2 linked regions of the Arabidopsis thaliana genome follow. The protein of the gene in region 2 interacts with the protein of the main gene of each other region in a pairwise test. Each region holds a gene or a part of one and is shown on either strand. Other genes may lie near its edges.

The links. Proteins that work in one complex are often made in the same cells at the same time.
Region 1: the proteins of TCTP (region 2) and AGO1 interact in a two-hybrid assay, tested with the Arabidopsis thaliana proteins (one study listed by BioGRID).

Annotation. Positions count from the first base shown.
Region 1 is NC_003070.9:17,886,349-17,894,440, forward strand, and holds the start of AGO1 (Stabilizer of iron transporter SufD / Polynucleotidyl transferase), read right to left. Parts: upstream 6,249-8,092; 5' UTR 6,080-6,248; intron 5,553-6,079; 5' UTR 5,545-5,552; coding exon 4,909-5,544; intron 4,822-4,908; coding exon 4,613-4,821; intron 4,537-4,612; coding exon 4,387-4,536; intron 4,302-4,386; coding exon 4,162-4,301; intron 4,064-4,161; coding exon 3,954-4,063; intron 3,861-3,953; coding exon 3,754-3,860; intron 3,664-3,753; coding exon 3,525-3,663; intron 3,454-3,524; coding exon 3,337-3,453; intron 2,869-3,336; coding exon 2,761-2,868; intron 2,663-2,760; coding exon 2,591-2,662; intron 2,241-2,590; coding exon 2,118-2,240; intron 2,030-2,117; coding exon 1,867-2,029; intron 1,779-1,866; coding exon 1,519-1,778; intron 1,402-1,518; coding exon 1,259-1,401; intron 1,160-1,258; coding exon 1,097-1,159; intron 1,012-1,096; coding exon 948-1,011; intron 865-947; coding exon 729-864; intron 633-728; coding exon 559-632; intron 481-558; and 5 more.
Region 2 is NC_003074.8:5,668,547-5,672,514, forward strand, and holds TCTP (translationally controlled tumor protein), read right to left. Parts: upstream 2,297-3,968; 5' UTR 2,184-2,296; coding exon 2,156-2,183; intron 1,827-2,155; coding exon 1,753-1,826; intron 1,661-1,752; coding exon 1,374-1,660; intron 1,281-1,373; coding exon 1,163-1,280; 3' UTR 771-1,162; downstream 1-770. Other genes in the region: AT3G16650 (Transducin/WD40 repeat-like superfamily protein), read left to right, coding at 2,587-2,717, 2,830-2,854, 3,201-3,303, 3,569-3,650, 3,808-3,873.

The sequences.
Region 1 (8,092 bases), on a different chromosome or scaffold from region 2:
TTGACATTAGGCCCGCGTGTGCTTCTACCAGCCATTCCACCTCCACGTGCCATGCTCCCACTAGCCATTGAGCCACTGTCTGATGTCTCTGGCTCCATGTAGAATCGAGCCCTAAAAGCTGCTAGATGTGCATAATATGCAGGGGGAACTACAATATCCCAAAACAAAAAAAAAAAACATTGAATACTAAATCTCTCTCTTCTTTATATCAAAATCAAGATGACATTAAGGGATGGGAAACACAAAACTTACCAATTGAAACTGAGCGTGTGCATCTTGCATACCTGTACAAATCAAAAAGGTAGTTTAAATGTTACTCTTATTTTCCTTGCAATCTTGCAAACACTTGTAACAAGGAATATGTTACAAAGGTAAGAAATCTTACGTGTAACATAAGTTATTGGTCAGAGATTGAAGTCCATCTGCAGTAAAGTTGTTCTCATCCCAAAGAACGTGGTAATGAGCAGGTCGAGAAGTGCCCTGTTAATGGAGTTTTGATTTGTTAAACACTTCAAATAAATTCTCACCCACAAACTCATTTGAGATTGTAAATTATACCTGAATACCAGCATGACTACAGAGGTAAAAGTCAAACTCTGTAGGGTGGCAGATTTTAGAGTCCACAACAGTGCCTACAATTAACAAAGGGGTTAAAAACCAATGCAAGGGATTTTCAGCTGATTAGGTCTACGCACAAAAAGCTTGACAAAGATCCAAACTTGTCTCACCAGGTAAAATATTCCCACTTCTGTCCACCGAATGGCGATCATTGTGGTTCTGAGCAAACAGCCTCGTGTGATGACGCTTCTGCACCACCACAAATGTCACTGGTGGTTGATAACCTGCTTCCAGCGAAGCACAGGCCTGAAATGAGTTGAAATAATAATCAGATTAAACAGAAGAAAACGAGCACGCAACACAAGCCATTTGTTAGAAGTAACTGTTACCTTGCGGATGGCATCAAGTTCATAGAGCAAAACTTGGTAAAATTGTCCCTCACTGACTCCATCCCTGTGCAGAATAACCATATAATACATTTCAGAAAGAAAGACAGAAAGTTATTTAGTCAAGTAAGTGCCATAAGAAGAGTTAATACCTGTAGAAGATGATCCTTAGTGGTTTATGCCCAGTTGATCTACGGAAGGCTATGAGCAACTCCCTGTTCAAAAGTAAGGGGAGAAACGTACAGATCTGTTACTTAAGAGCAAGCTAAAGCTAAAACCCAATCACGAAAATATTAAATAACATCCACACGTACTTTATCATGCCACCAGTCACCACACCTTTCTGAGGATCCTTCCACTCTTTGAACAGATCCTGAATGAGCTCCTGCCTATGCGCTTGAGCGCAAACTAATCCAGCATATTTAGTGATTTCAGGCCAATCCTGAGATGCCACAACCTGAAAACAAAAATTTCGTTGTCAACAAAACAAGCACAATTTGAAAAGGTTAAGGCCATGAAAATAAACAAAAGCATCCATATACAGAAGTAGATCTTAAAGGAGAAGCTAACTTACAGCAGCAATAGATGGGCTTGAATCCTCTCCAGGGTGAGGGTGGGTAACATCAGCACCAAATATAATGGTGGGTCGATCACTGACTAGAGGAATCCGCCTAGATAGAGCATCAACAAGCACTGTGTTTCTTCCTCCAACCTTCACATTAATCTTCAGCGCAACATTAGCCATGTATTGTTTGCTCATCTTAAAGACATGCTTTGTCAGGCAACATTGAGAGACTATGCCGAGTTCAGTCTCACATATGCGTTTCAAATCACCTGCAATGGATATTATTAAGGAAAATAAGTTGAGAGTGTGTTCCTAAGCAGAAGTAGACAATGAAACATCCGAGACCATGGCTCATACCGTATAATGATCCATTATTATCGGGCAGAATGACAATAAGCAGATCAATTTCTTTTCCTTGGGAGAGTTTTGATGTGGCATCATGATATCTAGTCTTCAAGACCTTCTCTACTTGCTCAGGGCGAGCACTGACTGGTGGGAGGACTGGTTCCGGATTAAATGCCTGCAGGTAAGAAATAAAAAATTAAAGGGAAGGAATCAGTGTAGGAAAGGTTAATAAACTGATCAAGTTTGTGCTTCCAAAGACTCACCATGCCAGATACGTAACACATTTGAGCAAGTTCCTGACAAAATGTACGCGCTAGATTGTCCTGCACTTGCCTAGAAAAGTTGATGCAGATCCAATTATTCACCGTTCCACCATTGATCATTTTCTGCAGAGAAGACTCATATTAGCCAGACAACAGAAAACGTTGTGATCACTTTCAAAAAATAACAAAGACAAATTCAGTGTGTATCTACATAGCTACATGAACAAAATACTCTCTGCAACTAGTCAAGTGCCACACCCATACTCATATCAAGAGAATAGCATTTTAGAGTAATATGTCTCATAACAGACAAATAAATAAACAATTTTCTTGCCAATTACCTGGAAATATACAGCTCAGCCATGATTTACAAAATATTCACATAAAAATGACAGCATAGGTATATATAGGTAACACAAGCAAGAAACATGTAAGTGCATAGTTGAAAACCAGGAACATTTTCGTCTAGTTACCTTATTCATCATGTTCCATTGACCAACTTGTGGCAGACAAGTCCCTTCCCTTCCAGACTCGTGGTACTTAAGCTGCAGAACATTAAAATCAGATTGGAACCCTAATTTGAGTCATTAAGATACAGAGAAAAAGTGTAATAGCAAAGAGACAATGGGAACGATTACTATACCCATGGAGGAGGCAGTATACGAGCCTCAACAGAAGCCAGAGAAGTACTTATTTTGATGCCAAACTCTTGAGCATAATTATCTTTAGCATAATCATTGAGTTGCACCGTCTAGAAATCAGAAAATATTGTATAATGTTAGCAATAAACAATTGAGTTTTCAACAACAGCAGCCAGAAGACACACGCGCTGCTAAATTAAGAGCACAACTCTGAAGATGGTAATCTGCCTCACTATTTATGAAGTAAAGGCATCATCTCAAGGTAAATCACTCTCTTCAAGCAAACATATGCATCCAAGTAAAGAAGAAACAGGTTTTTAAGCCATTCATTCCATAACATCCTTTCAGCCACAAGTTTATATGATTAAAAACAAGTTAGATATGAATTGAGAAAATCACTTACTTCAAGTAAACACATGCAACCAAGTAAGAATAAACAGATTTTACAATGATCTATTCCACAATGAGGCTTTATCACCAGCATACATTATTTAAAACGACTATCAAGATAGGCGGACAAAAAGATACTCTTGATTCAAGTGAAGGAAAACAAAGTTATCGAAAATAAAGAAACATACCTGTAAGATATCTTTTTCTCGATCTATCGGGCGCTGACAGGTAACCTTCAGCAAAGCAGTGATCTGTCTCTCATTCAATCTTTTGGAATACCGCTGGCCTTCAACAATCTTGCATACCTGTGCAGCAACACATTAGAATCGGAAGTACTGGTGAGCTAATAAAACCTGATGACGTATTTCAAAGTTACCTCCATTGGTAAGTAATTAGGCCTATTAGAATTCCCAACTTGCAAGCATGGTAGTTGAGTGTGCTGAATGCGAAAACCATATGTTTCGTGGAAGTATTCTACAACAGATTTCTGAGTATTTCTTTCATCTACTGGGAATCTGAAAAGGATAAAAACAGAGAGTAAAAATTAATTTCATCAAGTTCAACATTCGCGAAATAAGAGTAGTAAATCTAAAACAAATACGCACGTCAATTCCCGAGTGGCCACAGCAGTCAAACCGGAAATGCGGTACTTCCGGCGCATGTTTCCTCGATGAGTCACTTCAACTTTGACACCTCTAAGAGCCTTTTTTATCTGTTGACAGAAGAAGATTCCAAGTCACTAAGCAAAGAAGAGTAGATTAATACAACATTTCACTTACTACAGAAAATGACAATTGATTCATACCTTAACACGATCAGCATCAGATAAAGGTCGAGAAGAAATATCCCGGTTAAGCAAATCACAGACAAACTGAATCACAGGGTTTGCCTCTATGAAGGCTGTCGATGACATATCTACAAAACAGACAAAATTGCAGCACAACCATGAGTTAAACATTCAAGGAGAACCAGATATCAAAAATTATTGAATGTAATACAGCAAGCCATCACACCAATATTGAGTGATAAGCCCATCTGTGTAGGACGAATGCTTTGGTAGAATCCACGCCAGCTCTCCAAGCCATCCCCCAATGATTGTTTTTTTCCTATATCAGGGGAATAAAAGGACCGGCCCACCGGAATATACCTGATTCTAACATGTTAGCAAAACTAAACCAGCTGAGACTTACAAGCATGGTAGTAAAGAAGCAAACATCCATAGGATGAGTAACCAGTACCTAGAGGTCGGCAGCTCACGAAGAACAATGTCAAGAACCTGCAGAGCTTCCTGTGGGGCATCTGATTGTTTCCCCTCCAAAAACATTCCTAGGTGATGCAGATCAGCACGTGCAACTAGCTTGATCACAACTTTAAATTCCCTTTCTCGTCTGTAAAATAGGAAAGATGTTATTATTCTGAAACTTCCTTATTAAAAAAATCAACAAGAAACCATAAGAACTAGACCTTTGACCTCCAGCCCCTACTTCTTCGTCAAGAAGATTGATTCTGAACTCCTTGGAGTTAAAGGGAAGTGGACCAGCAGTGTAAAGACTTTTTCGACCATCATACGCTGGAAGACGACTTCCAAGGTGAGAATCACGATAATTATCAACAAGTTGTTTCATCACAGCACGATTGACACCCCTTGATGTAACTTCCGGAGTAATGGTAACCTAACAGAAAGAACACAGTTGGTCAGGTAAATTTATAAATAGACATTAGATGTATGGTAGCTAATACTAAGGGAACACAAAACTCACATCATAATGGTGCAAATCCTTATCAGGCAGTTCAGCAAAGAAATGGTTAGCCTTCACAATGCAACGCTTTCCACTCTGTCCTTTACCAGGCCTCATTGGAAACTTGAAAGCCTTGCTAGAAGAAGGTATAGGCTGGATTGCCTGACTGGGAGCTCCTTGTTCAACAGAGAGTTGTTCAAATTGCTGAGCCAGAACAGTAGGTTCTGGTACCTGGGTAGGACTCACCTCAGACAGTGTAGGCTGAGAAGACACCGCTTGATAAGTAGGTGAGGTAGCTTGATGCAGCTCGGGAACTGATTGTCTCTGCGGTGGTCCAGAAGAAGGTCCACCTCCACGGCCACCGCCATACCCTCCTCGACCTCCTTGATGAGGAGGTCCTCCTCTTCCTCTTCCTTGGTACTCTTGTGGTCCTCCATACTGTTGTTGCTGTTGTGGTGGTTGCCCATATCCACGACCACCACGACCTCCCTGTTGAGGTTGAGGAGTATAACCCCTTCCACCTTGGTGTTGTCCTCCTCCCTGCTGGAAACCACCTCGCTGTGAACCACGTCCACCACCTGAGACTGGACCAGCTTCACGAGACCCAGAGCCTTCACCTCCTTCAGATGGAGCATCCGTTCTTCTCTTTCTCACCATGATGATTCCTGTGAAAATAACACAACCACCCAAAAACAGTGGGTCATTTTAAAATTATCCTTGAAAATAAGAAGCAAACATTGAAAACAAGCACAAAACTATCGAAATATAGAAGCAACAGAAGAAAACCCTAACTAGCTTCAAAAACAAACGACTCAGAAGCACGAAAACCAGTGATTAGCTAGAGAGATAGAAAACCAAATTCAACAGCCCAAAGCAAACATAGAAAACCTAGTAAGAAACAATCAAAGACCTAAACAGAAAACGAAGTAAGAAAACAAGCACGAAACAGTAAGAAATTTGAAGCAACAAAAAAAAAAAACCTAAATATCTTCGAAGACGAACACACACACCAAAACAGCTACGAAGCTAATAGATCCGAAATCGCAAAGATCAACTAAACATACAACACTATCAGTGAACCATAACACCAAAACGAAGCGGATCCACCCAATCGAGTGGAAAAATCGAGTTCATACGCAGATCGAACACAGATTAAGTGAAGAACAAACACCAAAACCGCCGCCATTTTTACCTGAAAAGCAATCTCTCGCCGGAGAAACTAAGATTGACCGAGAAAATCCGTACGAAACACCAACCCTACGTCGCTCTCGCCTCTCTGTGTTCTCTCTATATCTTTCTCTCTCTCTCTAACTCCGAACAAACGAGATAACTCAAAGAAATGAGATTTTACTGCTACACTTTAAATTCAAGGGTTCTGTGGTTAGAGTAAGTTACGGAATTACCCTCTTCATTAATAGCTGGCATATGTCGACGTGGCGAGTCAGGGTTGGGTCTTTGGAATGCTGACCCAAGGTCGTGTGTAGTCTTTCATTGTTTGTAATGCGCTGATGACGTGGAATTGCATAATGTTTTTTTAATCCGGAAAAAGAAGCTTCTCGAAAACAACAAGACGAAAAACATTTTTGTCGTTTATCTACCAAATCTTTTTTAATTTATTTTACTAACAGTATATGTATTATCCGATTAAATATGATTAGTGTGATGCGTTACCTCGATTAATCTTCAAGAGTTAGTTGCATTAATTTAAATATTTGTTTTAGACTATAATATACCTCGATTAATCTTGTAAAGTTAGTTGCATTAATTTACTATTTCAACGAGAGATAATGCATGCACAAGTGTTCAAAATTAGTAGACCGGCCGTTATTAATCTTATTATTAATCTGTAGTAACTGATTAGATCATAATTTTTGGCTTACGTTACGTATAAAGGATGTTATACAGTTAAGTACAACAGTTTAAAATTGGTACTTGTGTGTGAAGATAAAACAGTGGCTAGAGAAAATGTCGTGAGTCAAGGCGACTGATCGAGTAGTACTAACGAATTGTACATTGTCAAGGAGGATTTTTCATGCAACGAAAGGCAAAATCATGCGAATTACGTTTAGTTTTATAGACTATATATAAGATAAAGTGAATGATTATAGTATAGAGGTGAATAGAAGAACTATTTATTAACTGAGATGGGTCATGGGTGGTGGGGCAAATATGAATATAGCCATTTACTATATAGATAACTCTCTTTCGTTTTCATAGAAATATGACCTGCGATTTCGGGGAAGTGATGCTTTTTTACAGGTTTGCCAATTTTCTAACTTTAGGAATGTGGTGGCTGTCATCACGTGGTATGATTTGTTTGTTTAATTCAATTTACTTTATTTGATGGTTAGCTCTTTAATTTAGTTTCACTAGTTGATTTGCTTCTGTACCTCAAAAAAATTCATATACTCGTAACAAATCTGTATTATATATAATTGTCAAAGATGATTTATACATATATAACAAAATTGGTTGCTCGTGCGTGAAGAAGAAATATGAGCTAGAGAATATGTCACGAGTAATTACATGCTGACGAAAGGCTAAATCTTGGGGAAAACGTTTAGATTTCTTTTTGTGATAACTGTAAGTCTATCTCAAAATGATTCGTTTGCTTTGGGAAATAATGATTCTTTTCATTATAAACATTAATTATAATAATCAAACGAGAAATTAAAAGGCGAAAGATTATAATAATCAAGCGAGATGTATAGAAGAACTTATATATGATTTCTCATAACGGAAGAAGAACTTAGAACTCGTCAAGTACTACTACCTCGAGAGTCGAGATGAAGATTAACGGCATATAAGCATTGATATCAATCAAGATTGGTGTACGTAATTACGGGCACCAACGCACATGCATGCATGGCGAGTCTAGCTAGAACCGATCGAAAACGTTGGTTTACGATGGAGGTTTGTGTTCCTTATAAGAACTACGTACAGTTTGGCTCATGTTTGAGTCGATTGGTGCGGTCTTGACGAGAAACGACTCTCACGGCTCGGTTCTCTTCTATAATCAATAGATGTTTTTGTACAAGTTTACGTTTCCGTGTTAATTAGGTGAAAGAATATCTAGACACTTTACCTAACAAAAGATTGTCTAGATCATATAGTAAGGTGAAAAAACATAAAGTTGTAGACAAAATATTAGATGTTGATTGGAGTTCTAAATCGAGATATTGTAGGAAGCCGTTAAGAGGAAGAA
Region 2 (3,968 bases):
AGTGGGGCTAATACAGCTTGTGGGTTCCTTTCTTTTGAATCAAAAAGCTTTTGCTTTAGCCTAAAGCATTCCGATCTAAAGGATTCCTGATTTTAAGTAATCACTATATAAACCAGTATGAAAGGAGCTTTTCCTTTATTTATCCTTCCTAAAAACATTGGTCTCTCTAGTTTTGTGTAAGTTTAGATGATCTACCTCCTTTGTATGGCTACGTCAATATAGTCATATAGATAGAAGTTGATACTACTTGTTACATAAGAAATGTTTAAATAGTGTAGGCTAAAAGCCTAAAACGAAAGGAACAACAAAGTTTGAAGAAATAATGACGATAAATACATAAGATACAAGAGAGTTGGAGCAACGTCAAACCGACCAAGACCAAATCACGTTTCCTTTTACGTGAGACACAAATACGTACCAACGCATTTTGGTTGCCCTCTCATCCATACGGACACCACACATACATAAATAAATAGTTCGAATAATAAAACCAACAAACTAAAAGAATAGTAAAGCATAGGATAGGTTGTGTTGTTTGTCAAAGTAAAAGAATACACATAATACATTATTATTACGGCCACATTGTGATTTGTCTCACAACTAAAACCAAGATGACAGAACTCTAGTTAGTATCGATTCCGCACGTGAGATAGAAATCCTTGATAAGGAGCAGAACATGCCTATGATGATGTCTCAAGACATCATGTCTGTACGAAACTTTTTCTTTTTAAAGGGATAAAACACCATTAGACTAAAGTCAAAAGAATCATTCTACAGCATATTCCATGATTTAAAGTTACTAACAGTTAGAGTAACCCACTCGTTTATTCACGTCCATAAGATCTGAATCCAAAATTATTAGACATCTACTATAAACATGCCTCGAGATTCGGGAGTTTAATTTAGAAAAGCAAAGCTGAAGAGATATCACACCAAATAACACAAAAAGTAACGACCAAAATTCAACTAATTGTAAATGATAAACCGTTTTTTGCGGAATAAATAACTTGAGAATCTTCCAACACAGAAAACAAGAAGAGAGAAAAGTAAACTGGCAGGTAATTTTAATAGGGGACGACGACGAAACACAGGACAATATAAAGAAACATAAACTTAGAGAGTCGCTGCGACCGACCACAGTAACCCAACGAGAGCTTCTCTCTCAGCACTTGACCTCCTTCAAACCATGAGCGAAGTACAAAAATGTTGGGTTAGTTGAACCCTCCTTGTAGTAAGCAAAGACCAAAGTGCTGTCATCATGCATACCCTCCCCAACAAAGCTGTAAAATCAGACAACACAAGCATTGATGAGATTTCAGATGAAATATATGTCATGTATAACAAGCAAGATACGATAGATTGGGGTAACTTACAATTGGAAGTCACTGAGCCTGGGGAGCAAAAACTTGGTAGCTCCCTCAATACCCTTCTTGAAGACAGCTTGATCTTCTTCGCTGAGCTTGGGTGTCAAAAGCTTAATGTATTTCTTAATGTAAGCGATGAATCCCTTCTTGTCATAAGTTGGTTGCTCCTGAAGTCTGAAGGTGTCGACAATGTCAACAACCTTTTGAGTAGAGTCATCAACACCTTCATCCTCACCACCTTCTTCAGCAGATGGATTGGCACCAATGTTAACATCTACAGCTCCCACAGTAACCCACTGGATAACAAAATCAAAACCCAATTCAGAACAGGAAAACAAAAATTTAACAAAATCAAAACAAAACTTGAAGTAGAATCGATGACACTGACCTTTCCTTCTACTTCCCAGAGGATTCCATTCTCAATCTCCTTGTAAGGGAAAGAGTCAGACAGAAGCTCATCACCTGTAAATCAATAGCCCAGACTCTTTAGTCATTACTCATAAGATCCCAAACATTAATCGATACAAGCGAATAAACCCTAAAATCCAATCTACAACGAATCGGTAAGCTCAATTAAAGGACGTTTATATACTAATGAATCACAGATCTAACCAAATCACATAAACTAATCCCCTAAGATTTGAATTATCAATGCAAAGAGCAGCAAATCAACGAAAAACCTATGATGCGATGACAGATCTAACAATTCGATAACATGATTTATTCCGATCGGAAGAAAAAGATCGATAGCTACACAGTTCATACCGAGATTAAGGAATTATTGAGCTTACCGGTGAGAAGATCTTGGTACACCAACATGGTCGCTTATTGATTGTTTTCTCTCTCCGATGGATGCGAATAAACGAAAATCGAAGGTTGCGGGAGAGAGACGCAGCGACGAGGGGATTCTGAAGTGAGGTCCTAAGTTTGGTATTTATAGTCGAAACTATAGCGTAGGGTTTTCAGGTAAATTTACAATTCTCGGTAAATTACAATTTTGGGCTTTAACTGTTTCCAATTTTCTATTTTTTACCCTTTCCTTTTTTTTAAATAAAGGAAATAAATCTGAACCGACGCTTAATGAGCCGGGTTTGGTCCAACGGGTGGGGATTCGAGTGTTGGGCTACGTATAAATAGTGTTCGGGTCGGATAAAATCCTATTTCCCTCTCTTCTCTTCCGTCTTTCTCGTTCTGTTTCTGATTGTTCGTGTAAAACCCTAGAATGACGATGATAGCTTTGAACAGGGAGGTCGAAACTCAGTCACTGAAAAAACTCAGTCTAAAATCTGTTAGACGAGCTCGTGAAATTTTCTCCCCCGTCCATGGCCAATTTCCTCAGCCTGATCCTGAAAGGTTAATCAACAGTTTCGCTTGCAATGTCCACTTTTTTTTCTCGAAATTTCTCAGAATTTTTATGTGTATTGACGATTTCTTCTTCTTGTCTGTTTTTGTTCTTGTCTCGCAGCAAAAGAATTCGGCTCTGCCATAAGGTAAGGGGGTTTTCGAATATTTTTTAAATTTTATCTTTGATCGTGTTGAAAATTTTGTTCGCTTCTTCTTTGTTTTGAGTTTGATAATGGATAGCTTTATAGCAAGCTTCAGAGACGTTGAACCTGAGAAAATTTTATAAGGTGTAAATCGAACAGTCAATGGCTTATCACTTTTATAGTTTACCTTTTATCTGGAGTTAGATTCTTCTCATCAGCTACTATTGTTTGAGTTTGCTTTCTAGCATATTACCCTCATCTTTATAGTAAGATGTTTAGTTTGCATCAAGCGTTTTAGTGAACATCAAGTAGAATATAAAAGTTAATGACTTGGACGTTACTTGTATAGATTCAAGTTGCATTTGGAGGCGTAGAACCTGCAAGTAAGCCTACACGTATTGCTGACCATAACAGTGAAAAGACGGCTCCATTGAAAGCCCTTGCGCTTCCAGGTAGTTCTTTTATCTGTTTTTCCTGTTGTGAGACAAAACTAGTTTCCTATTTTCTAGTTTCCCTGATATCTATTTATATTAGTTGTGAGTTTCATTCATATATGTCTATAATTAGGATTGGAAAACAAGTTTCAGTAATGTATCCTCTTAAGAGTATCTTTTCAAACAAACTTCTGCTGCACTAAAAACGCTGTTAGTGTAATCTTTTAGCCTTTTTCATGACTATTGTTTCTCGTTCTGAAAGACCAAATTATTTTCTCCGCAGGTCCAAAAGGGTCCAAGGAACTTCGAAAAAGCGCAACAGAGAAAGCTTTAGTTGTTGGTCCAACTTTACCGCCAAGAGACTTGTGAGTATACATTTTCATTTGGAATGTGACTAGTCCATATAGTTAGTATAAATAATTTACGACATTCTCAAGAATGTTATTCCTGTTTTGTCTTTGTGATTGATGCTCTACTTATCGTGCTGATTGATACTGATAATTATTGATTCTTGAATTGAAGGAACAATACTGGTAATCCAGGCAAAAGCACGGCCATTCTTCCTGCACCTGGATCATTTTCCGAAAGGTTTGTGTCGCATCCTTATCTACTTTTATGGACTCTCTATAACGACACTACATCTAGATTGCGATACCTAGGTGGTACATAAAGCCGCACTAAGG